Cricetulus griseus: one gene and its partner. The protein of the gene in region 1 interacts with the protein of each later gene in a pairwise test. Links are inferred from orthologs where the notes say so. Each region holds a gene or a part of one and is shown in the gene's direction. Other genes may lie near its edges. The genes, in order: Irf9 and Irf1.

Evidence for each region.
Region 2: the proteins of Irf9 (region 1) and Irf1 interact in a two-hybrid assay, tested with the Homo sapiens proteins (2 studies listed by BioGRID and IntAct). The link is inferred for Cricetulus griseus from reciprocal best matches to the Homo sapiens genes IRF9 and IRF1.

Annotation. Positions count from the first base shown.
Region 1 is NW_023276807.1:210,814,523-210,830,119, forward strand, and holds the end of Irf9 (interferon regulatory factor 9), read left to right. Parts: intron 1-493; coding exon 494-835; intron 836-1,738; coding exon 1,739-1,854; intron 1,855-1,982; coding exon 1,983-2,093; 3' UTR 2,094-2,579; downstream 2,580-15,597. Other genes in the region: meiotic recombination protein REC8 homolog, read left to right, coding at 10,719-10,774, 10,860-10,928, 11,012-11,154, 11,235-11,310, 11,612-11,732, 13,234-13,321, 14,372-14,451, 14,611-14,746 and 3 more.
Region 2 is NC_048600.1:67,919,986-67,935,147, forward strand, and holds Irf1 (interferon regulatory factor 1), read left to right. Parts: upstream 1-1,969; 5' UTR 1,970-2,182; intron 2,183-3,207; 5' UTR 3,208-3,212; coding exon 3,213-3,299; intron 3,300-3,534; exon of another isoform or gene 3,535-3,553; intron 3,554-4,810; coding exon 4,811-4,910; intron 4,911-5,612; coding exon 5,613-5,789; intron 5,790-5,875; coding exon 5,876-5,925; intron 5,926-6,021; coding exon 6,022-6,151; intron 6,152-6,494; coding exon 6,495-6,617; intron 6,618-7,085; coding exon 7,086-7,135; intron 7,136-8,001; coding exon 8,002-8,137; intron 8,138-8,382; coding exon 8,383-8,510; 3' UTR 8,511-9,328; downstream 9,329-15,162. UniProt on the Homo sapiens protein: Transcriptional regulator which displays a remarkable functional diversity in the regulation of cellular responses.

The DNA of each region.
Region 1 (15,597 bases):
GAGTGCTGGGATTAAAGGTGTATGCCACCACTGTCTGGCTCCTTCCTTCCTTTTTTTTTTTTTTTTTTTTTTTTTTAAAGACACTCTCATATTGTCCAGTCTGACCTCAGACTCACTGTGTAGCTCAAGATGACCTGGATTCCTGATCCTCCTGAGTATCCGGCTTACAGATGTGTGGCACCATGCCAAGGGTTGATTGTAGTGCTGGGTGTTGAACCCAGGGCTTTGTGCATGCTAGGCAACCATTCTTTCAGCTGAGCCAAACACCTTCTCTAACTCAGAAGGAACTGCCTCAGCCATGCAACCTTGTCTTTCCCAGTGCTTGCTTGGATTCCTGCCCTGAGTTCAGTTTTCCCATTAACAAAATGGGGACACTGGAGCACTTCATTTTTTCTGAAACTTTGTGCTGGTCAGGTGCAACATGAGAAGAGGGCCCCTTATTAGCCTTTAGGCTCCTCCCACACTTAATACAGCTGGGCTTTTCTGTTCCCAGACTACTCGCTGCTGCTCACCTTCATCTACAGTGGGCGTGTGGTGGGCGAGATCACGGTGGAGAGCCTAGACTGTCGCCTTGTGGCTGACCCCTCAGTCTCGGAGAGCAACATGCCACAAGTGGTGTTTCCCACACCTGATCCACTGGAGCCTATCCAGCACCTACTGAGTCAGCTTGAGAGAGGCATCCTGGTGGCCAGCAATTCCAGAGGCCTTTTTGTTCAGCGCCTTTGTCCCATCCCCGTCTCCTGGAATGCACCTGAGGCCCCACCTGGGCCTGGTCCGCATCTGCTGCCCAGCAATAAGTGTGTGGAGCTCTTCAGTACCACCTGCTTCTCTAGAGGTAAAGGCTTCCTAGCTGGGCACCTCAGCACCCACCCCTGTCTCTTTGTCCCCTGGGCCTGACCTGGGTTCCCCCCCTCCCCTGTCCGGCAGCAGATTGTCACCACAGCCTGTGCGTGGCACCCCTGCACTCGTGTGCCGCACATTATGTGGAGCTGTATGTTCAGCTCCGGCAGCATTTCCCTCGCCAAGGTCATGGTAGATGAGGTCCCGCTGGGTTCAGACAAGAGTGGCACATCTTGGGGGAGCATTGTACAAACAGGTTAACACGGATTTTAGCCTGCGACCATCTCCACACACTGCAACGCACAGCTCCGTTTGTGGAAGAGCCAAGACATCTTGCACACACTTGCCCCGCCCCACCATCTCTACCATGCTGTGGGGATCTCCTAAGACCGTCCCTTCCTTCTGGCCACCCATGAAATTCTAGTTGAGCCTCTGATTGTGAGCATAGGTAGGAACATAGAGGATAGCGTGGTGTCCCTGGGCTCCTAGTGCCCTAGTGTTGGGAGTATAAGCAAACAACAAAGGGTTGGTAGCCAGGGCTGCTGCTTCTGAGGCCTCCAAGGTACCCTTCCTACTGCACCGTGAAGACCACTTAATTCTTAGCATCTCTAAGCCACAGCTTTGCCCTGACCTTGGTGTCCTTGTTACCACATTCTCATATCTGCATCTGACTGCCCAGACAGCTCCACCTTACTCAAGGCCCTCTATATTGTTACTTTTTGTTTCTGAGTCAACTCTCACATTGCTCCTGGTGGCCTGGAACTCCCTAAGTAGACCAGGCTACTTCAAATCCATGGCAGCTCTCCTGCCCCAGCCTGAGTGCTGGGGTTACAGGCATATACCACCATGCCTGGCCTTCCCTCTTCTTTCTTCCAATCCTTGATCCTCTTTCTTTTAGACTTGGCCCAGTACTGCCAGGGCCAGGGCCCCCCACCCAAGTTCCAGGCAACCCTGCATTTCTGGGAGGAGAGGCCTGGCTCCAGCCACACCCAGGAGAATCTTATCACAGTGCAGGTGAGCTCCACTCCAAAACCAGGTCAACGTTGATTGGTTGCAGAACTGTTCCTAAGGGGGAGGAGCTACGGGGTAGTGACTGTGCCTGCAGTGCTCATGAGGCCTGTTCCTCATTTCTTCCCATACAGATGGAGCAGGCCTTTGCCCGGCATTTACTGGAGAAAATTCCAGAGGAGCAGAAAGCCGCTTTGTTTCTGTTACAGAACCCAGAACATCCATCTGCTGCTTTATCACTCTGATCCTCAGGTCTCTGTTGAAATAGTCTTGTTCTCCACACCATTGGTCTACCTGCTTTGTGTTGACTATCGATGTGGATTATACAACATGGCTGGTAGTGCAGGATCTTTTTATCCTTAAAATAACTATTTTGAGAGCCAGGCTTGTTGGTGAATATTTGTAATCTCAGCACTTGGGAGACAGACTGAATGACTTTTATTTACCTTTTTTTTAGATATACCCTCTTTCATCTCTAAGGAACTGGAAAGTTCTAAATGGTGTGATATCAGAGGGAATTTTGCTCTCTTTCCAACCCCTAACTCTAAATCTAAGCACTTTATGTTTCCTTCCTAGAATTAAATAAAATTTAACTTGGGGGGGAGGGTAGTACACATCTGTAACCTTGGCACCTGTGGGGCAGAGGCATGAAGAGTGAGAATTCAAGGCCAACCTTGGTAGCATATTATGACCCTGTCTCCAACAAATAAATAAAAGCTTTTTAAAAGAGAGATGAGTATGTGCTATGTTGGGAGAGGTAGCAGGGTTACAGGGGAATTATAAAGATATAGACTTGGGTATTTAGTACCTGGGCTCTCTTCCTGATGACCTCTCCAAGTTCCTTTGCTTTCCTCTGCCAGCAGGACTAGCTGGAATGCTGTCTGGCTCTGGAACCTAGTCTCAAACACATGGTGATTCTCCTCTCCCAGCCTCTTAAGTGCTGGGGTTACAGACACAGACCACCATCCATGACTGCCTTCTCTCTTTTCCAATCCTTGACCCTTCTATTTTGTTTTTCAGACTTGGCCTAGTACTTCCAAAGCTAGGGGTCCCCATCCAAGGTTCAGACAACCAAACTGGGGAAAGGATTGGGAGTCAATCTCTAAGAGAGGCCTACAGTCAAACGGCACTATAGCCACTGGTGGCTTAAATGAGAATAGGTTCTGTGTGCTCATACATTGGAACCCCCTTCCCCCGACCCCAGGGCAGGGTTTCTTTGTGTAGCCTTAGCTGTCCTGGAATTCTCTGTAGACCAGGCTAGCCTCAAACAGAGATCCACTTGCCTCCTGAGTGCTGGGATTAAAGGCATGTGCCACAGCCACCACTGCTGCCTGGCATACATACATGGAATACTTGGTCCTCAATGGAACTGTTTGGGAATGGTTAGGAGATGTGATCTTGTTGGACAAGTTGTGTCACTGGCAATGGGCTTTAAGGTTTCAAACATGCCGGGTGTTGGTGGCGCACGCCTTTAACCTCAGCACTTGGGAAGCAGAGGCAGATAGATCTCTGTGAGTTTGAGGCCAGCCTGGTCTACAGAGAGTTCCAGGATAGCCAGAGCTGTTACACAGAGAAATCCTGTCTCAAAAAACCAAAACCAAAAAAAAAAAAAAAAAAAAAAAGCCATATTCTAGCACCCTGGTTCACTGAAACTTGAGAGCTTATAATTGACTGACACTCTTTTTTACTCTGTGTCATTTTGTCACTAAATGGGGATGCTTTTCCTTTGCTACCATCACTTCCACCAGCTGGTTCCATCACCATCTAACTGGCAGCACCTTCAGCGTCCACATTCCTGCACGGAACACCAGATTTACTTTCCTTCTTGCCGTGGCACAAGCCTCCAGAGGCTTGCTCACATGATCAAGTCTAGATGCTTAAGTCCTTACAGGACCTTGCCAGACTCCTTGGTGGTTTTCTGCCTCCTTGAACCTTTTTCCTTCCCTTCAATCTGTCATCCCTCAGGGAAGCCAAGAGTAAACAGGGGAGGTTCTGCTTTTGTGCCTTCAGTTTTCTGAAATCCCCCTTGAACCTTTGTACCAGTTCTAAAGTACATCTTTGTCTTGGACCCTACATCTAACTCCAAATGGCAATGGTCACTCTTTCTTCAAACAAACCTTTGAGGGGATGGATATGGCAGTGCACTTTTAATCCCAACACTCAGAAAGCAGAAGCAGGCAGATCTCTGAATTCTGGGCCAGCCTGAGGTATATACAAACTAATACCCTGTCTCAAAAATTTTTAAGAGGTGGTGGTGGTGGTGAGATTGCTTAGTGGGTAAAGTCATCTGCTGCCAATCCTGGAGATTTGAGAGTTTGATGCCTGGATCTACATGGTAGGAGAGAACCAACTCCCACAAGTCATCCTCAGACCTCTCCACATGCAGTTTGGTACATGCGCATCCCTGCAGCACTTAGAAAATAAAATATAAATGTGTGTGTGTGTGTGTGTGTGTGTGTGTGTGTGTGTGTGTAACTTGATTCCTGTAGAAAATACAACATGTTCACACATGCTGCAGTGGGAACAGAAGCTAGGTTTAAAATGTCAGTCTGGAGCACTGAGGAGGATGAATAAAGGGGTGTGAAATGACCAAGCTAAACAGATAAAAGGGGGAGTGGGTTCTAGGACGATGATTACAGTCCAACTGCTCCACAAAGCCCTGAGGATTATGTATAAGACACTTAATATTCTTGCTTCTAAGGCAGCTAATTCTAATGTGTAATTGCAAGTAAGTTAGATGTCATCTAACAAGCTTCTGCTTAGGAGACTACCTCAGACCACTCCAAAGACAAGGCACTAAATACAGGGTAACCAAGAAAGACTGAAACTGTATCTTGGTGGCTGTGATAGAGGTAATACTGCCATAGCAAAGCTACAAGCTGATCCTGTCAGTGTGACAACAGAGTGCTTCGTATAGTTTAACAACACTTGAGACACTAGGTTAGGGGTAGTAAGACTAGCCAAATGACTAACAGCAATGGACAGTCATGGTCAGGCACTAACCAAATGTCAGACAGAGAGGTGCTCCAAACACTCCTAACTGGGTATGCAGCCCATTATCATCTCCCTATTAGGCCAAGCAGACACACAGAGCATGTGGGTTCTCCATTGCCCTGCCCAGTCATAGCCCTAAGAGCTAGCCAACCTCAAGCAATTACCGAAATTACCTCAACCTTTGTCCAGTTTCTGCTACAATCCTATAGAAGTCCTAGAGAAAGAAATTCAGTGGCTTTCCCTCCCTTAGCATCCCTGCCCATTCTTGGGAGTACCTCTCACTTCTCATTTTCTCACTTTTCTGTAACTTTTTTTTCAAGATGTATTTATTTATTATGCATAGTGTTCTGCCTGCATGTATGTCTGCAGGCCTAAAGAAAGCAGCACCAGATCTCATTGTAGATGGCTGTGAGCCACCATGTGGTTCCTGGGAATTGAAAGCACCAGATCTCATTGTAGATGGCTGTGAGCCACCATGTGGTTCCTGGGAATTGAACTCAGGACCTCCGGAAGAGCAGCCAGTGCTCTTAACCACTGAGCCATCTCTCCAGCCCCAACTTTTCTGTAACTTTTAAATTATTTTAATTTTATTATGTGTATGGGTGTTTTTGCTTGCATATGTCTCTGTACCACAAGAGTGCCTGTGGTCTATGGAGTCCAGAAGAGGACCTCAGATCATTTGGAACTGGAATGGATGGTTATGAGCTGTCGTGTGGGTCCTCTAGAAGAGCAACACAAGCTCTTAGCCTCTGAGTCATCTCTCCATCACCACTTTTCTATAATTCTAATAAAGCTTGCTTCTGCTTTGCCTTCTCCCAAAAGACTCTGCCACTGACTCAGGTTGACCTTTGGTGATCTTTGAGTATCTGACACATTAGAAGCTTGAGACAAGAAAGGTCCTATTGTTCTTAAAACCCCTGCCTCAGTTCCACCTAATATTACCACAAATCTCTTGGTTCTTTTCACATTGTCTCTGTTCCCACTCTTGTCTGCTTTTAGCCTATTCTCGACACAGTACAGAGAGACTCTCAACACAAATCTCGTCATTTCATTCTTGTGCTTAAAACCCTCCTTGACTCCCAACTCCCTCAAGGTAACAGCCAAGATCCTGAAAATGACCTCCAACATTAAACAGTCCCCGCCTCCTTCCCAACTAACTCATCCTTTGCCCTTCCCATGCTACTTTGCTCCAGGATCCTTGAACCCGCAAAACATGTTTGTTCTTTTTTTCTAAAATACTATTCCTCGATGACTGGTGGCGCTCACCTTTAATCTTAGCACTGGAGGCAGAGGCAAGTGGATCTCTGTGAATCTGAGGCCAGCATGGTCTACAGAGCGAGTTCCAAGTCAGCAAGGGCTACAAAGAGAGACACTGTCTCAAAAATCCAAATAATATGATAATATAATCTTACTGCATGCAGTCACATGACCCGTCTCTTCAAAATACCACCTCTTTAGAGCTCCCCTGGGTATCCCATACAAGTTGCCCACATCTTCTGGTCCTTCTGTTCAATTATGTGTGTGTGTGCGCGTGTGTGTGTGCACGCGAGCACGTGTGTGAGAGCTTGCGCCTTAGGAGTTGGATCCCCCTTGAGCTGGAGTTACAGATAGTTGATAACTGTGAGCTGCCTGATATGGGTGCTGGGAATCAAACTTGAATTCTCTGGAGAGCTGTGCATGTTCTTAACCACTAAAGTTAAAACTTAATAGTGCTGCCATCTCACACACTTCTATTTCCTTATCATCTCTCCTTCCCTACCCCCGAGAGCAGGGAACAGTGTTCCTTGTTTATCCCCAGTGGCATGTGAGAGGCACCTTGTAAGTGCCTGTTGGACTGAATGGATGAATGGTAGCCAAATTACTCTATGTACCATGTGTATCTCTTGAACCTAAAAGTAGATATGGAGCACCTTCTGGTCAGGGCTTGCACTTCGTCTTTGAGCCCCGACGTGACAAAGTGACACTTCAACGATTGAAATAACCAGTGTAGTCAAGCACAGTAGGCTAGGGATTGGGAATATTAGAACTCAAAACAGCAAAATTCCAAGGCAGGCTCTGAGGAGCTGTGTGGTTTATGAGAGAGCATGTGGGCTGTGCTTCTCCCCACTTGTAAAGTTGGGACTCATGCGAGGTCCCTCAATCCCTGTGCTGTTGTCCTCTATGTAAGGGGATGTGTGCTCTCGTGCATGCTCCTGAGTATTTGCCGTGTACCACATTCCTGCAAGAGCCGGAGAAAGTTGAAAAGAACAGGGGTGGGTGGTGGTGTATGCCTTTAATCCCAGCACTTGGGAGGCAGAAACTGATGTGTCCCTGTGTGAGTTCAAGTCCTGGTCTAAAGAGTGAGTTCCAGAACAGCCAAAGCTACATAGTGAGACCCTGTCTCAAAACAAAACAAAACAAAACAAAACAAAACAAAACAAACAAAAAAACCCAACCCCACAAACACTGGCAGAGATATGTTTCAGTTGTTAAGAGGACTGACTGCTTTACAGAGGGTGCAGATTTGATTTCTTTCTTTTTTTTTTTTTTTAAAGATTTATTTATTACATATACAGCGTTCTGCCTACGTGCCAGAAGAGGGCACCATATGTCATTATAGATGGTCATGAGCCACCATGTAGTTGCTGGGAATTGAACTCAGGTCCTCTGGAAGAGCATTCAGTGCTCTTAACCTCTGAGCCATCTCTCCAGCCCCCAGATTTGATTTCTATAAGTCATCTCACCATCTGAACTCCAGTTGGAGAGGATTTGATGTCTTTTCTGATTTTCTTTAGTTTTTTTTTTTTTTTTTCCAAGACAGGGTTTCTCTGTGTAACTAGCTGTCCTGGAGCTCACAGAGATCAGCCTGCCTCCCGAGTCCTGGGATTAAAAGCATGTACCACCACGCCCTGCTTTTTTTTTTGGTTGATTATTTATTTATTTATTTATTTATTTATTTATTTATTTATTTTTGAAGCAAGGCCTCAGCTAGCCCAAGCTGAACTCGCTGTATGGGCCAGGCTGGCCTTGAACTCTAACATCTTCCTGCCTCTGAGTCCCCTCAACGCTGGGATTATACATATGAGTCACTATACTCTGCCTCTCAGTCTCTTTGGGTTTTGACCTTGTATAGTTGTAAATATAGGTCAATTGAACAATCACTTGACAAATACTGTACTTACATAACCAGAAGCCAGGCATACACTGGAAAAAATGTGACCCTGCTCCCAAGAGCTCCAGACGGAAGGGGACAGAGAGAGAGAGAGGGTCAGTTCAACTACCACAGAACTAAGTTTAATATCAGAGCCTACCCTGGAGCCAAGGCAGGAAAGAATAGTCTAAGGCAAAGAAATGGTTTTATAAAGGCAGAGACACCAGAGCAAAAGATATTTATAATTTTGGCACCATCGTAATCATATGCTTAATTTATATAAAAAATTATTTGAGCCGGGCAGTGGTGGCGTACGCCTTTAATCCCAGCACTCAGGAGGCAGAGGCAGGCGGATCTCTGTGAGTTCAAGACCAGCCTGGTCTACAAGAGCTAATTCCAGGACAGCCTCCAAAGCCACAGAGAAACCCTGTGTCAAAAAACCAAAAAAAAAAAAAAAAAGAGTTATTGAGGGGCTGACAATATGACTCATAGGTAAAGGCACCTGCCACCAAGCATAGGGACTTAGGTTCAGTCTACCACAGACCTCACATGGTAGAAGGATAAAACTGACTCCAGCAAGTTGTCCTTCGAGCACGCGCGTGCGCGTACACACACACACACACACACACACACACACACACACACACACACACGCACGCACGCACGCACGCCCACACACACTATGAAAAAAAGTTAAATTTCTGGTTTAAAAAAAAAAGCATCACCCAGCAGTGATGGTGCATGCCTTTAATCCCAGCACTTGGGAGGCAGAGGCAGGAAGATCTCTGTGAGTTTGAGGTCAGCCTGGTTTACAGAGCTAGTTCCAGGACAGCCAGAGCTACACAGAGAAACCCTAACCCGAAGGGGGCGGGGAGAAAGGTGTCTTGAGCCAGTGTAGCACTCAGGAGACAGAGGCAGGCTGATCTCTGAGGTAAAGGCCAGCCTGGTCTACAGAGAGAGTTCCAGGACAGCCAGGGCTATACAGAAAAAAACCTGTCTCGGAAAAAAAAATAAATAAAAAGAGCATGTACTTTCTATTAATTCTGAGGTTTTTGAGCTAGGTCTCATGATGACCCAGGCTGGTATTAAACTCACTGTGAAGTGAGAACTGTCCTTCAACTCCCACCTTTCCTCCCAAGACCTGAGATACATCCACACACCTTCATTTTTGTTTTGCTGTTGTTTTTATTTGCTTGGTTTTGAAACAGAATCTCCCTATGTAGCTCTGGCTAGCCTGGAAGTCATTGTGTAGACCATCATGGCCTCAGACTCAGGACTGGCCTGACTCTGCCAGGATCAAAGGCTGTTTTCTTTCCTTTCCTTTCTGTGGTACTGAGGGTTGAGCCTAGGGCCATGCAGATGCCAGGCAAACTCTCTACTACTGAGCTACATCTCCAGCCCTGTTCCCTTTTTTTTTTTTTTTTTTTTTTTTGACAGGGTCTCACTATCACTTCCTAAATGGCCTGTAGACCCGGCTAATCTCAAACTCATAACCTCTTACTGCTGAGATAAAAGGTATACACTACCACTCCTGGCCTCTGTTTTTGCTTTTTGATTGGAGATAGTGTCTAAATTTCTTTCTTTTTCTTTTTTCTTTTCTTTTCTTTTCTTTTTTTTTTCCCGAGACAGGGTTTCTCTGTAGCTTTGGAGGCTGTCCTGGAACTTGCTCTTGTAGACCAGGGTGGTCTCGAACTCACAGAGATCCTCTGCCTCTGCCTCCCGAGTGCTGGGATTAAAGGCGTGCACCATCACGACTAGTGTCTTAATTTCAAGCGGCAGGTGAAGTTTGTAGTTGCAGCCCCTGTGGCTGTTTTCTTTCTTGTTGGCATGTGGTGATTACAAGGCCACCTCACACTGTGGTTAGCATTTAGTTCAGCACACACCCTTCATGGACACAAAATCAGGTGGAATTGAGGATTAAGAACAGGATTTATGCACAGGCAAGGTATGGTCCCTTGCATCTCTGCAATTATAAGCAGCGCCAGGGCATTTGCCCTTGGCATGACCCCATCTCCTTCTAGTAGACACCCTGCTAGCAAGCTGTCTCCAGGGAGAAACTGGGTTTTCTCCCCGTTTATTGGTCAGCAGAACCCGTTGGAGAAGTCCTTGTTACTACCCGAGAGAACGAAAGCCCATTGGCCAGGACACCTCACAATGCCACAGTAGTGCTCAGCATTCTCGTGATTGGCTCGCGACCCGTCTCCAAGAGCCTATGGCCTGGAACCGGGTTTTGCTGCCTAGCACCAGGAGTCACAGCTCCCCATTGGCTGTCCTGGCTCAAAGCCTTGGAGAGCGTGCTCCTTGTCCCGCTGGAGGGCGACCGGACCTAGAGCAAGTCCCAGAAGCTTGACGATGTCTGTGTGCTTGAGGACGAAGAAGGCCTGTTGACGAGAACTCAGTTTAACCTAAAGACCTGTTATTTTTTTGTCCCTGCCCAGGCTTTCCCTTGGAGCTTCGCATCTCTGGCCAGGACCGCCAATCCTGATGGTAAATTCTGTTTCCTCGAGTGGTATGCAGACCTCGGGGGTGGCAGAATGAAGGGTGCGCAGCACCTGCTTCTCCGTTTGGTTACCTCCTAGTTCCGGTACTAGTAGTTGGTGGTCTTATTAATTGGGCTTTTTGCATCCGCATCCACCATGCTCCCTGTCCAAATTCCTACTCCTCTGCCATGGTGCTGGAAATCTCGTGTCCTAAAGAATTCGGATTGAGAGCCAAACGGGATTGGTGCTGAGCGTGAAACCCAGAGATGTTCTACTATCCTAACGTGCTTCAGCGCCACACAGGCTGCTTCGCCACTATCTGGTGAGCACAGGGCTGATAGCTATGCCAGGAGCCGAGTAGTGGGAATCTTGAGTTTGACAGGCCATACCTGTCCCCACCCTTCCAGGCTGGCAGCAACCCGAGGCAGCCGGTTAGTGAAGCGTGAATACCTGAAAGTGAACGTAGTAAAGACTTGGTAAGACCCAGAAAAGAGGGAGGAGTCTCTGGCTTGGGAGCTTCGATGAGTGCAGCATTGACCAGGGTCCGTTGTTCTCCCAGCGAGGAAATCCTCAATTATGTGCTGGTACGAGTGCAACCTCCGATGCCTGGGCTGCCCCGGCCCCGCTTCTCCCTCTATCTCTCTGCGCAGCTGCAGATCGGTGTGATAAGGGTCTACTCTCAGCAGTGCCAGTACCTTGTGGGTAAGACTGGGAACACTAGAGGTGGGCTAGAGCCGAATGGCTCATGCCTAAGCTGATTATTGTACCTTCCTTGCCCACAGAAGACATCCAGCATATCCTAGAACGTTTGCACCGGGCCCAGATGCGGATTCGCATTGATATGGAGGAGGCTGACCTGTGAGTCCCTGGAACCCGGGCCAATCAGACTTGCTTCAGCCTCTTTTTTTCTTTTTTATAATGCATTCGTGTGTGTGTGTGTGTGTGTGAGAGAGAGAGAGAGAGAGAGAGAGAGAAAGAGAGAGAGAGAGAGAGAGAGAGAGAAAGAACACAGTCAGTCTGAGAAGGTGGGTTCTCATCATTACATAGGTTCAGATTTAGGGATCAAATTCAGGACTTTGCATTTGGTGGCTGCACCTTTACCTGCTGAGCTATCTCACCCACTCTCAGCCTTGTCCCTGACATCCCAGTTCTCTCCCAGACCTAGCTTGCTTCTTCCCAACTGTCTGGCCATGATGGAGACACTGGAAGATGCCCCAGAACCCTTTTTTGGGACGATGTCTGTGGATCCAGGACTTCCCAGCCCTTTTGATATTCCTCAGGTAGGGCTCATTTCCCTAGAGCACCTCAGAAATCACAAGATGGCAGTATAGACCGAAGGGTTAGTTGGTGTCCTTGTGTTAATCTGAGGTTTGGGGATGGGACACTGCCATAGGTTCCCATAAGAGGCCATGGAGCAAGGGGATTAGTGGGTGCAAACAGGGAAAGCCCGAGATCTTCCTCACTTAGGGCCAACCTGATGGAATGGCTTCCTCATGAGAGGCATGCTTCCCCCATCTCCACCGTTCCCACCACTGAGACCCTAGTCTAGATGTTGGCTTTTCTTCCCCATCTTCTCCCATCATCCCCACAGCTTAGATATCACTCCATTTCCCATCTTCTCATTCATGCAAGTTGGTCCTGAATGCAAATAGTATCTGCACCTCTAGGGATCTTGGAGCCTGGATTTGGTGGAGTCCATTCCATTCTTTTCTCTAGATCTCCTTAGCTACCAGCACCAGCCCCCATTTTCTATGTCCCAGAAATGCCACATTTACTTCTTTACTTGTGGAAATACATCTCTCAACCTGATAAGAGCGGCTCTTCATTCTCTGCTGGCCAGGGCCTACTTATCCTTACAGACTTAGTCGACTGTCACCCTTTCCATGAAATCATTAACCCACTCGAAGCCAATAGAAATGAGGTTTGGAATGTGAGCACTTTACCAAGGCCACTCTGTCTTCTTCGTTGGCTCCACTGGAATCACACTCACTCACACTTGTCCCCACTACCATCTACCCAAGAACCTTTTCTAGTCGTTTCTGTCCACAACACAGTTGATGTGTAGATGGATGTTGCACTGCTTTTTGCACAAATTCACAAAGCTAGTTTGGAGGCGAGGTTAGGACAGGGACAGGAGGAAGAGTAGGTTGGTGGCTTTATGGCATATGGGTGTCAAATGGCACAGAGATTTGGTTTAGGGCTGAAGGCGTAGCACAGTGATAGAGTATTTGCTTAACATGCACTAGCCCGCAATTTGATTCCCAGTTCTGAAAATACACACGCTTGTGTGTGTGCGTGCCCGCAAACGCGCACGTACACACACACACACACCTTGGATATGGTGATGTAAGCTACTTCAAGAACTCATGAGTTTCAAGGATGAGTACTGTCAAAAGTTGAAGCAGGGGTGGGTGGGGCTGGGAGTAGAGCCATGGCTCAGTGGTTACCAGTGTATCCAGCTCTTGCAGAGGACAGGATGTCACTGCCAGCTTTCACAGTCATCTCTCACTCCAGCTCCAGGGATCCAACATCAAACTCTGCCTTCTGGCCTCCAAGGGTGCATGCATACACACACAGATAAATAAAATCTTTTTAAAAAGTGTTTAGGTCAACCTGAGCTACACAGTGAGACCTGTATCAAAAATGAATAAATAAGAAAGCAAAAATTCTAAAACAAGAAATACAGAGACGGCCAGATTGGTGTCCACTGAATGTTTTGAAAGTAAGGACATAGAGGAGTGATGCTAAGACCTGTCTTTTGTTCCCAATTTCTTCCCAAAGATTCGACACCTTTTAGAGGCTGTGACTCCAGAGAAAATTGGTAAGGAGACCCCCCCTCCTGAAGTCACTGCAGAGCCCAGGGAGCCAAGTCAGCAGGGAGGGCTGTTCTGATGAGAGGCTCAGGAACCCAAGAGCTCAATCAATGACTCTCTTTTTTACCCGAGACAGGGTTTCTCTGTGGCTTTGGGGGCTGTCCTGGAACTAGCTCTTGTAGACCACAATCAATGACTCTTAAAAGCCAGGCTGGGTGAGGCTGGGTGACACATCTGTAATCCCATTTCCTTGGGAGCCTGATGTGGGGAAACTCCAAGTTAACACCTGCCTGGGTTTAGATACTGAGTTCAAGGCCAGCCTAGACTGCTTAAAGAAACCATTTCAACATTTCCTTTTTCATTTATTTATTTGTTTATTTTTTTCAAGACAGGGTTTCTCTGTGTAACAGCCCTGGGTGTCCTTGAACTCGCCCTGTAGACCAGGCTAGCCTCAAACTCATAGAGATCCACCTGCCTCTGCCTCCCAAGTGCTGGGGTTAAAGGCGTGCGCCACCAACACCCGGTTAACATTTAAAAAAAAAAAAAAGGATAAAAAACAAAACAAAACAGGTGGACACCTATAATCCCAGCACTCAGGAAGTAGAGGCAGTACTGAATGCTCATACAGAGGACCCAGGTTCAGTTCCCAGCACCCATATACATTGGCTTACAACTACCTACAACTGTCCCTCCAGAGAAATCTGACACACTCGCAGGAATGTACCCACATATAGGCATACTCACATATACATAATTAACAATTCAGACAAATCTTTAAAAAGAGTCCAAATGAGGTCAGAATTACTATCTTCATTTTAAGGATAAGGAAAGTAAGGCTCACGATGGTTAAGAAATGAACTCGGAGGCCGGGTGTGGTGATTGTACACCTTTAAACTCAGCAGTGGCAAAGGCAGGCAAGGTCTCTTATTGGAGGCCAACCTGGTCTACATAGTGAGCCGTGTCTCAACAAACAAACAAAAAATGAAATGCACTTGGGGTATTTGCTGCTGACTAGCCTGGGTCTGGTTCTTGGTCTCCAAAATCCATGTTTTCGCCCCAACAACTTCAAAAGAAGTAGGGCTGCTATCATCTTCCTAATCCTCCAGACAGGACCTTAGCCACTGTTCATTCTCCTGAGGCCATCACCCTACAGGAGGCAGAGCCCATACGCATGCTGCGGATTGAGGTGAGTTTCCCCTTAAACGCGGGATTACAGTCCAGCCTCACCACACCCCTGTAGTTCTGCCTTTCTCTGTTTTCATTTTCCCACATTCTGTCCCGTTAGTACCCACTGGGTTTCCTTGGGCTCAGTCTCAAAAAGTCTACTCTGTTCCTCTCTCCATAGGGAGAGCAGGATCTCCCAGAGGTCAGCCGAGGTGATTTGGACCTGCTGATTGCGGAGGAAGATGATGCCATATTGCTGGAGGAACGTCAGCGAGGCAGGCTTCTCCAGCGTCGGAGAGCTTCTCCAGCACTGGATGGTCAGCTCTCCGCACAGCCAACATGAGAATGGACAGGGCCTTGTTCTTCTGTCTCCTAAATGTTCTGATCCTCTCTCTGCAGAATCCAAGGAAGAGCCCAGGGCCATGGAGGGTGATGGTGTGGTCCCTTCACTCTCACCTCCAGCTCCAGCTCCAGCTCCAGCACAGTAAGGGCAGGAATCCCTCTACCAGGTAAGGGGTCATTGCTAGGAAGGTTTCTTTATCTGCCTGTTTCCTTCAGGGTTGAAGGGATAAGAGAACCACTTCCAAGCCAGGTCTTCGCTCCCGAGGTACAGAAGTTGACAGGCTGGGAGCCTGGGGCCTTACTCACTGGTAAGTGTCCATCACTTGGTGCTTTCTCGGGAACAGCTGCACACTTACAGAGACAAATGTCCTTACCCCACCTTCTGAGGGAGACACTGGTAGCTGCAAGAATGAAGAGGCTAGCTGGGTGGTGGCGGCACATACCTTTAATCCCAGCACTTGGGAGACAGAGGCAGACAGGTCAGAGGTGGAGGCCAGCCTGGTTACACAGTTAGTTCTGGGACAGTCAGAGCTACACAAAGAAACCCTCTCCAAAAACAAACAAACAAAAAACCAAAAGAGTGAAGGGACCAATCGAGTGTGGAGATAGCATCTGGAGCCCGATCACTCCAGAAACTAGGGTTGGGACAGGCCAGCTGGGGTTACAGTGACAGACCTTGCCTTGAAAAACAAAAGCAAAAAACAGGGGATTATGGGTGTTGTTGCAGAGGTGACCCCTCCTCAGGAGCTACGTCTACCTGCTCCGCTTAGTGCAGAGGTGAGTAGGTTCTTCCCCAAGCTGCAGCCTCTGTACCTTCCCCTCATAC
Region 2 (15,162 bases), on another chromosome or scaffold:
AAAACAAAAAAACCTCACAGAACATTTAAAGATGTAAATGTCAGTTTCACTGGTAAATCCTAGCAGTGGGGGTTGGGGTGGAGGAGTATCTCCTAAGTGGAAATTTGTTAGCGAGTGTGTAGATTTTGCTTACACTGTTGTCTCTATTGGGGAAAGAATGGAAATAACCTAAATGTCCTACAACAGCGTATTCATTGGGTAAAATTTTATTTGTCCTTATGACAGAAAACAGGTACCCATCACTAATGCCGATGGGCATTCCAGGACATGGGCTGACTTTCATTATGCATACCCACACAGGTATTTTAATATATTTTGTAGTCTCCTGTTGCTTTCAACAGGGTCTCTGTGGGTTGCAAGAGTTACAAAGTTCCTCTCCCCAATCTCATTTTGAGTTTTCCAGTGGCTGTGTCAGGTTGTCTCAATATATCAAGCATCCATCCTGCTCAGAAAGCAGGTGTCAGGACTCTGAGTCAGAGTTCAGAAGGTCTCAGTCTCTGCAGCAATTCTCCCTCTTATTTGCCACTTCAAATATCCCAAACCTCACCTCCCCATTCTTTCTAGAGTCTCAGTATCTTCCTCCAAGGTCCTCCTGCCATCTTGATTCTTGTAGCTCCTGAACCTTCTCCATGAGCCAGCGAAATGATTGACAGGTACAATCATTCACCAATGTATGTATTACAGCTTGCAACACTCCAGTTGGGTGCTACCCTAGAGGGACAGCTAGGACAAAGAAAGTGACACAGGAGAATGACACCATAGAGGATTGATTTATTTGTGAGTCAGAAGCCTTGAGGAAGTAAAGGAAGAAGCCTAAGGGGTCAGAGTTCTGGATGGAACATGTACACACCAGCCCAGCTGCTAGAACACACTGGCAAGGTTTACGTGTGAGCACCAGTTAACCCACACTGCCTGTGCCAACCCCTTGGGACCTGGGTCCCCGTTTCTTTTATTAGATGCAATGCCTTGGCCACAATTTCTCTTTGCTGCCTAGAACTTCTCCAGATCTAGGCTTTGGGAACTCAGAAATGACTTCAATACTGTCAGGGAGGAACTCTCTCTCCCAACGGCTAGGGTGAGGTTGTAGAGCTGAGGCAAGAGTCCTAGAAGGAACCACAGCCACTTCTGAATTCCCTCCACTCCCGTGGTCTCAAGTAGTCCCAAGGATACAAGAGAAGAGGGTCACCTTGGTCACTGCTAGAACCTCGTGGGGTACAGAAAATCACATCAGCATCGTGTGCCGAGGTAGAGCACACACATCATCTCTCCCCATCTCTCAGGATACGGGGCTCTCCCATCACTGCAGACTAGCAAGGAGCTATTGCCATTTGTGGTTAAGGAAATTAAGATTCCTTGCGTCCTTCGACAGCTGTGCCTGCAGCATCCAGCATCCAGGCTGGATGTTCCTACTTACAAGTAGCTCCACATAGCACCTGCAGCAGGCTTGGCCTTCTACCTCAATTTCCCAGAGCAGCCAAGCGACGGACCGTTAACAGAGGTGTCACCTAAGGCAGTATAGGGACCGAATCCCTCCCTTCTTGACACCTCATTACCAGACTGATTTTCAGGGTGATTCAGTCCCGAGGTCCCTTCTGGAGAGGGAAGTAGGTGTCCTGGAAACCTAGGAGTTAGAGGTCCGGGTGGAGGAGAGGGGGAAGACGGTAACAGGAGCCAGCAAGCTGGGAGCATGCAGAATGAGGGGAAGAGCCTCGCTTTCCAAGACAGGCGAGGGGAGCGGGGGTGGAGTGGAGCGCGGGGCGGGCCCGCGGGAGCCCCGGGGCGGCGGCGCGGGCCCGAGGGGGTGGGGAGCACAGCCGCCTTGTACTTCCCCTTCGCTGCTTAGCTCTACAACAGCCTGATTTCCCCGAAATGATGAGGCGGCACCGGCCAATGGGCGCGCGCAAGCGCCCCGGAGGGGGCGTGGCCGAATGAGGGCCGGGGAATCCCGCTAAGTGTTTGGTTTTCTCCGCGGCGCCGCGGACTCGCCAGTGCGCGCTACTCCTTCGTCGAGGCAGGACGTGCTCTTAGACTGAGTCGAGCCGAACCGACCGAGACGAACCAAGGTCAGCCGTAGCCAGCGGCCACCAGCATCCCGGGCATCCTTCCCTCTGTGCGCGCATCGCGTACCTATACCGCAACCCTCGCTGTCGGGCACCCTATCTGGATCGCTCCTGTTGCAAAGGTGAGCCCTTCGGAGTTGCGCGGGTACCGACGGGCGGCGTGGAACAAAAGGCGCGCGGGACACCAGGAAGTGGGAGCTAGGGACACCCTGGGCCGGGGTGGCGCGCGGGCCCGGGAGGGCGCTGCGAGCGATCGGGCGGGAGGCGGGCCGCGACGTGCGCCGCCCCCTGGCTGTGCTCGGTTGTCTGCGTGCGCGGGGCCGCTGCGGGGCGTCTCGGTGGCCCGGAGCGGAGCGTCCGTTGCGCGCATCGGCGAGCAGTGCTGGGGGGGGGGGGGGTTGTCGGGCGTCAGCTCGCGCGCACTTTTGGCTGTCGTAGCTTGGCGCCTGGGTCCCAGATTTAGGGGCCCGCGGTGCTAGGTGGCAGAGGTTGGCTTGCTGCCCTGAATGGCTAGACCCGGCCGTGAACTACAGGGGTTTCGGGAGGAGGTGCCACAGGTGTTGCTTGCGCCACTTCTCTTTGCAGCAGGGGAAACCAGGCCGGAAGGGGTTGCGCCCCAGCCTATGCATTGTGGGCACCGGCTGTCAGAGGGGGCATAGACAGGGTTGGGGAGGGTTGGGGGAAGTGCCCGGGATGGAGAGTGACTTGCTTGGCCAGTCTGGAAGGTGCAGAGCTGGTGGTGACAACAAGCAAAAGTAGTCCCTTCCTTCCCCCAAAGATTGCATTTTGAGAGAAAAGTCCTGGCATTGAAATGCCTGCGTATTTTGGCTCTTTTTGCACATAAATCCTGAAACCATCCAGACTTGCTTGCTTGTCTCCTCTGAGACTGACTGGGAGAGGGTGAGAAAGGGGGCAAAAAGGTGGTTTTGCCCATGATGCTGGAGAGATTTAGAGAGCAGTTTCAGTCTATTTATTGCAGGGTTGCCTTCTCTGTGCCTATAGGACCTGGTACCTGGCTGGCTGGGGGAGGGTAATGACCTGGGTGTGAGGGCAGGGGAAGGTAATTGAGTGGCCTTGGGTGGAGCAGGGCAGTGCCCAGGATTGTTTAATAGACTTCAAACACAGACCTTCTGTCTTCTCCCTCCAGCCACCATGCCTATCACTCGGATGCGAATGAGACCCTGGCTAGAGATGCAGATTAATTCCAATCAAATTCCAGGGCTGATCTGGATTAATAAAGTGAGTGTTACTCTGGGTATTTCTGGCGCTGTTTTCACCCATGTCCTCTTGGGGACCAAAGTTTCATTAGTGGAAATGAGAGAGCAGGAAGATGTATTTCCCAGTGGGTGCTGCATGCCAGGACTTTCCAGGTCTGACTTTATGCCTTCTGCTTCTTCTTCCTTCCTGAAGCTGGGGCGAGCCTATCCTCCTAGAGGCACAGTTCTCAGCACCAAGACTCCCAGCATCTGCAGAGCAAGTGAGAGAAACTTGCTGTACGTGTAACATCCTACATGGCTCCAGTTGTATAGACAGATGATGCTGGGCAGGAGCATGACTGGCTCTGCAGGGGACCCAGTTACTGTGGCCCAAGAAGCCATAACTGGTACACATGGCAGCCTAGACTACGCAGATTTAGCAACAATACTAGCATTGGTAACAATAATTACTGTGGTTGGGTACCCTTCTAAATATGTTACCAATGTTGTGTATTTTAGTCTTCATAGTCATCCCATGAGATGGGTCTCAGATAAGGAAACTGGGGTAGATTACAGGATCACACACAAAGTATGAAAGCCAAGACTGAACTCCAACAAACTTGACTGAATGTCTATATTGTTGGTGATGGCTCAGCAGGCAAAGCCTGACAGCCTGACTTTGATCCCCACATCCCTTGTGATTGGAGAGACAACTGCTCTAGGTTGTCCTCTGACCTCCACAAAAGTGCCCTACCCCTGCAAATAACCCTGACACTTACACACAGATTTAAAAAGAAAACAAAAAACCCCCAAAATCTGTATCATTGTGGCTGTTGTCTCCATACATACTCTTTTTTTTTTATTATTAAAAAACAAACTCCCCCTGTGGTGCACGCCTTTAGTCCCAGCACTTGGAAGGCAGAGGCAGTCAGATCTCTGTGAGTTCGAGGTCTGCCTGGTCTATAAGAACAGCCACCAAAGCCACAGAGAAACCCTGTCTTGGGAAAACAAACAAACAAACAACAAACTCCCACCCCAATACACATAAGAAAACTTTTCTCTCTCCTTGAGGTATGTCTTATTTAAGAGGACATAGGCCAGCATTACACGGCTGTCAGCATCCATGTCTGGCCTCGGGCTCCCTGGTGACATGACCCAGGACCCTGTATAGGAGTCAGTGGCTCCAGTTGTCTTGAGTAGACACTAATGCAGGAAGCTCTTCTGCTCCCATTGTTCTGAGCCAGAGAAAAGCATAAGAGACCTGCCAAGCCAGGACTGAGAGAGGGTGCCCCTTTGGGCTCTTAGCACACCTGCAGCAGGTGGGTAGGGCGGGGGTGTCATTGCCCAGCTTCTTGTGCTGTGGCTTATCAGAACCCAGACCCCCCCTGACAGGTGCAGAATGGCCTGTTTAAGGCAGTCAGGATGGGTCAGTCCAAGCCAGATGTTGGGGTGAAAAGGGGAAGTCAGTCTTTTCCCATACTTGGGGGCTGGGTATACTCAGCCACAAATCCTGTGGTCTCCAAGCTGACACAGTCCTATGTGTGCACTATTCAGGAAGAGATGATCTTCCAGATCCCATGGAAGCATGCTGCCAAGCACGGCTGGGACATCAACAAGGATGCCTGTCTGTTCCGGAGCTGGGCCATTCACACAGGTGTGCAGGGTGGTGGGGCAGAGAAAAGAGCAGGGGAGGCTATTACCATGGAGGCTTTGGGTAGCTTTGAGCTCCTCGACACAGCATGCAGAATTATTGGAGCAGGGGTTGAGGTGTCCCTGTGTTTCCCTAGGATGGGATCCATTGTTTTAGCAAGTTCCCAGAGGATTTATAAAGGTGAAAATCTTAGAAAGCATGCCTTCAGGGAGTCTGTAGCTAGAATACAGTTGTTCCTGGCAAAGAGAGTTGTGAGTCAGGCTACCAAAGGAAACTTTCATCTTCCTTTCTCAAGGTACGGACTAGGGGCCTTGGCCCAAGCCTCATCTGGGTGGTGGCCTCCTTTCGGCTTTTAGGAATCAGGTTCTTGGTCCAATTAGGACCTGTTAGTAAATGTCCTTGTTGCCCACTCTGTACACATGTGTTCTTTGGAAACGTCAGATAAGCCTCTGTATTAGCCGTCTCTGGCTGCTGATAGTGTGAGCAGGGAGACTGTTATAACCGAAGACAGTGAGCACATTTTGGAATAAAGGCATTCAACTGAGCCCTTCACATGCCTGCTGGATGTCTGAGCCAGCCTTGGGCATGAGCCCCCCTGGGGGGGGTTATTGCCAGTGGTTTTTGCTAGTTTCACTAGTATGGGTGTCTGGGGTACACCTAGTCCAGGGAGCAGCTGATGGATGCATTTACTCTCCCTTTCTGTAGGCCGATACAAAATAGGGGAAAAAGAACCAGATCCCAAGACGTGGAAGGCAAATTTCCGTTGTGCCATGAACTCCCTGCCAGACATTGAGGAAGTGAAGGACCAGAGCAGGAACAAGGGCAGCTCGGCTGTACGAGTGTACCGGATGCTGCCACCCCTCACTAAGAACCAGAGGAAAGGTAACCAAGGGCACTGGGTCCTCAGAAGGAAGGGAAGAAGGGTGGAAGGAAGATCGGCTAGGGCTCATGGCCTGTTTGCCCCACAGAGAGAAAATCCAAGTCCAGCCGAGACACTAAGAGCAAGGCCAAGAGGAAGGTGAGTGTGGCTCTGTGTGGCCCAGCCTTTGGTCACCTTAGGTAGGGTGGGCAGTGAAGAGCACTGCAACAGGCCTAAGCTGTCTTCTCTCCACAGCTATACGGAGATGCTAGTCCTGACACCTCCGATGGACTCAGCAGCTCCACTCTGCCTGATGACCACAGCAGCTATACCACTCAGAGCTACCTGGGTCAGGACTTGGACTTGGAGCAGGACCTTACCCCAGGTGAGGATGCCAATCTGGCAAGAGAGCTCATAGGTTGGGTCCAAGAGGCACTGTGGTAGCAGAGAGTAGCCTGTTAGAGCAGGTTGCAGGGTGGAGGTGCCGATTTATGGCAGATTAAGAAAGCATGCCATCAGCCAGGTGGTGGTGGAGTATGCCTTTAATCTCAGCACTTGGGTGGCATAGGCAGGCAGATCTCTATGAGTTCAAGGCCAGCCTGGTCTCCAGAGCCAGTGCCAGAATAGGCTCCAAAGCTACACAGAGAAACCCTGTCTCGAAAAACCAGAAGAAAAAAAAAAAGAAAGCAAGCATGCCATCCTGACCTGTGCTTTGTACCCTCCTGTAGCTCTGTCACCATGTGTTGTCAGCAGCAGTCTCCCTGAGTGGCACATGCAGATGGACATTGTGCCAGACAGTACCAACGATCTGTATAACTTGCAGGTGTCGCCCATGCCCTCCACCTCTGAAGGTTTGTACCCTTTGGGCCTGGCCTGCCTCTGTTTGTGTTTGGCTCTGCAGGGGAAGTAGATGCTTAGAAATGTGCGTGCCATTGAGCTGATGGAGCTGGAACTGGGAACTGCTTAACCCAGCCCCCATAGCATGAAACAAGCCCATGGGACGCAAGACAGTTTAGAGCCTTTGTGTGCTCCAGGCCAGGAGGGAGGCAATCAGGCCACGGCCACATCTTGGTCAAAGGTGGCTAGTGCTCCTGGCTTCTCTGCCCTCAGTTGTCTGAGGTGAGGAAGGAAGTAAAGGGGTGGGATACAGCCTTGCTCCATGGTTGGGGAGGGTGAGTCATCAGGCCAGTGTCCTGTTCTGGAACCTCCAGGGCAGGCAAGATGCTGGTTGGAAGGCTGGGTGGGGGGCTTGGGGTTGGAGCTGGTGGGGTGGAACTTCAGGGCAAACATGTATAGCTAACCTCTGCCCTTCCTCACAGCTGCTACAGATGAGGATGAGGAAGGGAAGTTACCCGAGGACATCGTGAAGGTAAATCCTTTTCCATGCCGCATCTGTGAAGGGAGAGCAAGCTAGGGAAAGCTTCCAAATCAGTGTGGGCAGGTGCTGTTGTCACTTGGCTGCATAGCCCCACAAGTACCACCCCCCATCCCCACCCCCCCTACCTCCCACCCCCCCCACCTCCCACCCCCGTGTGTTGGGGGGACTGCTGCCTGGGCAGGTGAGATGCCTAGTCTCTAGCAGGCCATCCTGAAGCAAGCCTCAGGGTCCCAGACAGCTCTGAGTCAGCCCCCATCAGCACTGTGTCCTCCGCCCCAGCTTGCCCAGCCCATTCCCAGTTTGGGAAATGCACATCAGGTTTCAATAATCAGCTTTTGGGATCTCTACTAAGATGACTAAAAAAAAAAAATCTTTTTTTCCTTAGCAAGTTCTTTTGCACTTTCATTTTTTTCAGCTGCAGTTTTCAAAGTGGCTATAAAAGTTTTTGAGGTAGTTTTGTCCTGATTCTGGCCTGTGAGCGCAGAACATTGAGATGCGGGTCTAGTCCCTTGTCTTCAGCCTTCCTGGCTTGTTATGCTAACTTTTACTTTAAGCTGCCTTACCAGTTGTTATGTCCTCCCCGAGTTGAGGGAAGTCATGCAGATTCTGTGCCAGAGGGTGGGGATAGGAAGAGAGAAGGACAGTGACACAGCAGAGGCCTTACAGGGCCCAGGTAGTTCGATGTTCCCCACACTCTTGGGCCTTGTCTTGACAGTTCTGCATGCTGACACCCATTGGAGAATATACAAATGCCCAAGGGTGTGATTCTGCTTGGGAAGGGTTAGCTCATTGAGGGCAGGGCCCACAGGGTAAGTCTGCACTGGCAGACGGCTGATGGCTTCATGTTTTCTCCTCAGCTCTTTGAGCAGTCTGAGTGGCAGCCGACAAACGTGGATGGCAAGGGATACTTGCTCAATGAACCAGGAGCCCAACCCTCTTCTGTCTATGGAGAGTTTAGCTGCAAGGAGGAACCAGAGATTGACAGCCCTGGAGGTAAGAGGTCTCCAGGTCCTTATGGATTCTGGGAGAAGAGCGAAGTTTATGGGAACTGGGACATGATAGGAGGCAGAGTCAGATAAAGATAAAAGATCTCTTTTAAACTGGATCAGCAGGCACAGCAGTGAGCACTGTTCCTGTGCTGAGGACGAGCTGTGCTTGCTGCTTGCTGTGGACGACTGTGTGAGGTTCTCGTACCTTTTCTTAAATAACTTTTTTTTTTTTTTTTGGTCATCTTCTAGGGGACTTTGGAATGGGCATACAACATGTCTTCACGGATCTGAAGAATATGGACTCCATCTGGATGGACACCTTGCTGCCCCCCACTGTCAGGCTATCCTCTATTCAAGCTATTCCTTGTGGACCATAGTTTGGGTCCCTGACCCGTTCTTGCTCTTCTGAATGAGCAAGGTCTGGTGTCATGGTGGCTGTAATACAGAAAAGCTAGACTGCTGTGGGTCCCTTGACATGGCAAAGCATAGCCCCACTGCCAAGCGGGAAGAGACCACCCTCCTTGGGTCAGTGGACTCTCAGGGCTTGGAATGCCAGGATCTGAGTTTTTCTTGTGAGGTGAAGCTGGCCCTGACTCCTGGGAAGATGGAGTTGGGGTTCTGAGGTTGCTGTGAGGTGGGAGACAGGGACAGGAGTCATCCTCTAGCTCTTTAAAGCCTTGCTGCCTGGAGAGGGTCTTGTCACTGGGCTGGCTGTGCACTGGGAGACAATTGCACTAAGTGAGTCCTATTCCCAAAGAATTGCTGCCCTTCCCAGCCGAGCCCTGGGATGGTTTCAAAGCCAGTGAAATGTGAAGGAAAAAAATGGAGTCCTGTGAGGCTGGGCTCCCTTAGCCTCAGAGGAGCTCTGCCTCGCTACCTGCTCTCCAGCTGTAGGGCTCAGGAAAAAAAAAATGGCACTTTCTCTGTGGACCTTGCCACATAACTGATCAGAGGTGTACACTAACATTTCTCCCCAAGTCTTGGCCTTCTCGTTTATTTATACAGTGCCTTGCCTGGTGCCCACTGTCTCCTCAGGCCTTGGCAGTCCTCAGCAGGCCCAGGGAGGGGGTTGTGAGCGATTTGGCGTGACTTTGACTATTGGAAACGCCACCTAACTACTAAATTGTGTTTGATCACATATGGATCTGTGTAAATATGTATATTTGTCTTTTTATAAAGTTAATTGTTTACAAGGCGTGTGGCTTTTTACTTAGAAGTCGTAATCTGTTTTACTTTTTATGGAAACATTCTGGTGGGAATCTTTGGCGTTCTGCCTGAGCTTTGGCTGAGCATTGACATGCATCTGTCATGAATCTTTCCAGTTATGGTCAAGAAGATGGCAGGAGGAGGGAACCGCATGCCATGTTACAGGGACATGCTCATTTATATTCATTTGTTGTATTTATTTTTGGTTTTTTGAGACAGGGTCTCACTAAGTAATCCTGGCTGTCCTGGAATTCACTATGCATACATAGGCTAGCCTCAAACTCACAGAGATCTGCTTGCCTCTGCCTTTGAGTTTGATTGTCTTAATCCTATTTTATTTGTTTAGTGGAGGTCAGAGGCCAACTCCTAATTAAGTTGGTTCTTTAACTTTGTGGAACCTGGGATCAAATCAGGTCATCAGGCTTGGGAGTTGATTTTGAACTCTTGGGGCCTGGTTATCTGTTAGTCTGTGACAAATTCAGAGGAACCCAGAGCCTATCTGTTCTGCTGAACAAACAGGTGCCATTCCAAACAATAAACGATTGGTATGACACTGACAATGGAATAGACAACAGTGCAAGCAACATCCCCAAGGCCTGCTGCTGCCCTAGGCCTCACTTGATGGAAATGATCTCTACTCTGTACTAATGCTAGTCAAGCCTGGGGGCTAAGTACCTGAAATGTGACCAATGATATATGCAGGAACTTGACTTTTAATTTCAGTGACTATCTGACCACTGACTGTGGTTTGGACTCATTTGTACTAAATAACAGGTGCAGCTTGGGGGCAGATCTGAATGAGGGAAGGGAAGATGAGGACAAAACTGTAAAATGGGCAAAGCTCAGTCTGTGGTTACCCTGAAGACTGAACATGCTGTGTGCCTGGCAGATGGGCTGTCACTAGGTGGCTGTCCTCACTAGGTGGGGGTGGGGTCCTGGATTACAGGCCTTGCCCATCTGGAGACCCAGTTGGGTTTTTCAAGGATAGCTTTACTGGGGACTAAGATGGAGATGGATAGCCTTCTTAGTCCTTCCAGGGCCCAGTCCTTACCAAGAACAAGATTTTAGGGGGTTAGCCTCCTGTGACATCTACAGAGTTTTCTGGTGGGTGGCTCTTAAGCAATGGCAGGTAGGAGTGGTGTGAAGCCAGCTAGAGGGGATTGTGAAAGAATGGAGGGGAGGAATGTAGTCTACCACAGACAGCAAGGCCCACTTTTGACTTTTCTGTTCCCTCCTTCAACTTGATCCCTGATGGAGAGTATATAGTAATGACAGAAGTTCCAAACAACAGAAGGACACTTAAGCTCTTATAAGCAAAGTTCATCATCAGTACATCAGAAAAGCAAAGGCATTATGCTATCAGCTTCCAACCTCCAGAACCAAGATAGAGTCCAAATCTCCTTTGGTTAGGACCATCCATCCCCTGGGGATGTCCAAGGGGGACCCCAAAACTCTACTTTTCCATCACAGGGTAGCTAGGTCATAGGTCCTTGGACTTCCAAGATGAAGAATTGCCCTACTGTGGATTTCAGCCCTTGCCTGGAAGACAAACCCTGTAAAATATGACTATTCAATTAAAGATGGCAGCTGGTGCCTGGAATGGGGTAATATGAGTATAAATTGAGCCAAATTTAGGCCTAAGATAATTCTAAGGACTTAACAGTGCTTCTAAGAGCCACACCTAAGAGTTTCTGTCTACTAATGGACACTCCGGGCTGAGCAACTGGGAAGTCACTGAAAGATGCATTTCTTTGGGGTTGTGGTGATGTCATAGTTATCAAGGACCACTTAACAGTGGGATTAACTGTCAACGAGGTAGGGTTCAGAGGAGAACCACTTTTCCAAGCTCAGAGGTGAGGTAGGTCTAGAGTCTATGTTGATTTTTAGATGGCATAGCTGAGTCCTGCCCTCCTTGTCATGGTGGCCCAAGTTCACAGATGTTTGAGGGCATTTCTAGTGAGTCACAGTGGTCTCCTTGCCTTGTCACTTTAATCAAGGTAGCTTGTTCATTCACTTTGAAGTAGGAAGAATGCCAGAGACTATGGTGTAACAGCTACTGTCCACCTCTCAGTATACAGTTTGCAAAGTACTGGGACAACTCTGGCTCAGAGGATGAGGGATGGATCCCTCTCAAAGCCAGCCAAGGAGAGCTGAGATCCTAGGGAAAGTTTGGTAGAAGCTTCAATCCTTTTCTCTGGAAGCAAAGCACTCCTCTTGGTGGGGCGGAGTCCTGCCTGTGGTGTGAGATCCAAAAACCTACTGCACAGGGGAGTGCAGTGTGTGTGTGTGTGTGTGTGTGTGTGTGTGTGTTTGTTTGTGTACATCCTTTAGACAGTCCTGTTAGAACACCTAGCTGGAATCTTTTGCTCTCATCAGATGTTATTTCTTAATTCCACACAACTTGCCCTCCATGTGGAGATGTATGAAGTGGTCAGACCCCTGCCAGCTGTCCAAGGGGCAGGAAGGAGGCCTGGGCAGAATGAGCTGGTACATGCCTTTTCCAAGAACTCCCTTGTGGGCCCAAGTCTGAGGCCTCACTGGCTGGCTTTACAGTTTCCTCAGCTCCAAGCAGCTCCCAAGAGACTCACTGCTGCTGTTCTTAAGGAAGTTGCAGAATCCTCTGCTTCTGGTGGCTGGGTGGTGGGGGTCTGTGGTGCCTACACTCAGTTTCCTTTCAACAGGGGAGTTGCTGGAACCACTGGGGCAAATTCGTGAAGACAAAGTGAAAATTAAGAGAGGCGGGTATCCACCTGCCACCCATTCACCAGGAAGAAGATATCAGCATGTAGGAGTCCGAGGGACCACAGCATCTATCCAGATATGACAACACAGACACACTGCTCAAGTACACTAGTATACTTGCACCCACCTCCCTGCAACACCATCCCTTTGTTCACAGACCAGAAATCAATGTTCAACAGGCCAACAGGCTTGCCAAGGTGACTTAGCTATGGAGGTTGGCTTCCAACCCACATCTATCCATGTCCAGAACCCAGACTGTTTCCACACTGTCAAGGTTCCTGAAAGAAGGAAACTGAGAACAGCTGGGAAGGAGTAGGGTGTTAGGACCCTATGCCAAGAAGGCATTTGGGACTGTGGAGCTGTCACTGTCCCCTCCTGATGCCCTAGAGTCTAGGGCCTAGAGAATGACTGGGGCTCTAGTGGGGTAGGGTTTGACTTGGCCTTCAAGAGAAGCAATGCTTTACCTACCCTGGGAGGCCACCTGATGTTTCAAGGGCTAGGGCCCCAGGGGCCGAGAAACAGTCAAGGCTTGTAACTTGATTGGCCCCAGAGCAGCTGGCAACTTGGCCATAGACCACATTTATTCCCGAGGACTCTGGCCAGCCAGGGCTTAGATCCCCAGGGTTCAAAGTGCACTTGTCAGCCATGTTTTCATCTGAGCAGGGTGACCAGTTTTGCACTAAACCAAACCCACTATTGGGTTCGGAGCAGCTTCTCTCCCAGCTCTGTATCCGGAGCTGGACCAGCAGCTCTGGTGAGTTTTATTTTTCCTCTCTGGCTGGGCCTTGTCTCTTTCTGCTCTCCTTTCCTTAAAAGTCCCTTGAATATGAACAGGGCAGTGGTGGCACACACCTTTAATCCCAGCACTTGGGTGGCAGAGGCAGGGGGATCTCAGTGAGTTCAAGGCCAGCCTGATCTACGGAGTGAGTTCCAGGACACAGAAAAACCCCCGTCTCAAAAAACAAAACAAAAATCCCTTGAATATGGATGGGGCTGACTGACTCTGCTACTATGTTCTCCTTGTAGACAGACAGGAGCACAAACTCTTCCACAGCAGTTATAAACACTGAGCTACACTTCTGCTCATGGAGAAGGGATGTACCAAGACTTCCCTCAGGAGAAGGCCCAGGGTAGGGTGTAAGCATGTGAAAGGCCTCTCTGAAAAAGCTGACTTCGTGGGCTCAGGGAGTTATGTAGATGTGGAGGTGGGTTCCATAGAGAAGACAACAATTAATTAGGTCAGAACCATGATTACTTGTTCAAAACTGTGACCAAGTTCCACACCTGGGAGGCAGAAGCAAACAGATCTTTGTGAGTTTGAGGCCTGCCAACATGCCAGCCTGTGAGGGTTACATAGACCCTGTCTCAAACAAACAAAATGAAACAACAACAAAAACCCACTATGAACAACGCAAGGAGTTCTGTCATGTTGGTCATGTCAGAATAATGTTAGACTGGGGTAGGAGCTGCAGATGCTTGTGGGAGGTGGTGGGTCACTGTCATAGCTGGGGACCCAGCTGGAATGCCAAGGGGAACCACATGTCTGCAGACAGAGCAAAGGCTGGAGTCTAGCAGTCCTGTGCAGTGTGAGGAGGGCAGGAAGGAAGGGTAGAAGGAGTGTCCAGTTCCATGGCCATTCATCAACACTCCTCTGTTGCAGAGCAGGGAACAGCCGGACACAGATGCTGAGCCCAGTAGACCCTGTGCTCCCAGCTTGCAGTCAGCCTGAGGTCACTTGGGAGGACCTCATTTTCAGTCTCTGTCCATTCTAAGAAGGTGTAGTGTGGACCCTCATGGTCAAAGTGTCACCTTATAGGTGCTAGTCCCTTCCTGTGTGCTTAAGTGGTACATGGGACTGGAGGCTCCCCAGGGACAAGGGCTCTCTACATTCTCACAGTGCTCAGCCCCAACTTAAACTTAAGTGCATATGTTCTGGTAGCCTGGGACACTTGTCCATGGCACCTGCTCTGCTGAGCTCACCTGGACTGTGAGGTTCAGGAGAGTAGGCTATGGTAACTAGGCCTGCCTCTGCAACAGAATCCTGACCAACCAGCAGCCAAGGCTAAAGGCCCAGGGACAAGGGCTACTTTGTGTATGACACAATCAGCCCGTGTTCCCAGCAGGACTGAAGTTGGAAAGCTGAGTTATTCATGATGCTTACTTTATTAAAAACATACACAAGCAGCCGGGCGTTGGTGGTGCAAGCCTTTAGTCCTAGCACTCGGGAGGCAGAGGCAGGTGGATCTCTGTGAGTTTGAGGCCAGCCTGGTCCCCAGAGCGAGTGCCAGGATAGGCTCCAAAGCTACACAGAGAAACCCTGTCTCGAAAAACCAAAAAAAAAAAAAAAAAAAAACCATACACAAGCACTTGGTAGGATGGCCCAGTGGGTAAAGGTACTTTGCTGCCAAGTCTAATGACCTAAATCTGGTCTCCAGAACTCATGTTGTAGAAAAAAAACTGACTCCTACAGGTTGTCCTCCAGCCTCTACACATGTGCTGTGGCATGTGCAGTAAACAAATTAACATTAACACACACACACACACACACACACACACACACACACACACACACACACTTACTTTTCTAATGAAAGAAAGGGTGTGAATTTGGGTGGGTGGGGAAGGTGGGAGGATCTGTGAGGAGCTGAGGGAGGGAAAACAGAATATATTGTATGAAAAAAGCGATTTTTAATATACAAGAAGAACATGATTTAATTGTACAAAGAGCAAGAGGTATGAGGAAATAAAAAACATTTATTAAAGACATCTGCAGAACACCACCCAGAAGTGACCAGGGTGTGACATTTTTAGAAGCTCTGATGCAAACACATTGTGTCACTCATGCATGCAGCTGAGAATGCTGTGCCATGCAGGCACAGCTAGAAGATACCCATCCCTCAATCTTTCTAGCATCCATGAATCCAAAGGGCTGGTGTGCAGGAAGCAGAGGTGACTGCGGCTGTCCGGGAGGTGCAAAGGAGATGAGGCTCCAAGGATATCAGTTTGTACAGAAATGAAGAGAGAGGGTTCCCAGGATTCGAGACTTCTGGTGTTAAGGGAAGAGGTCTCAGGAATAGCAGG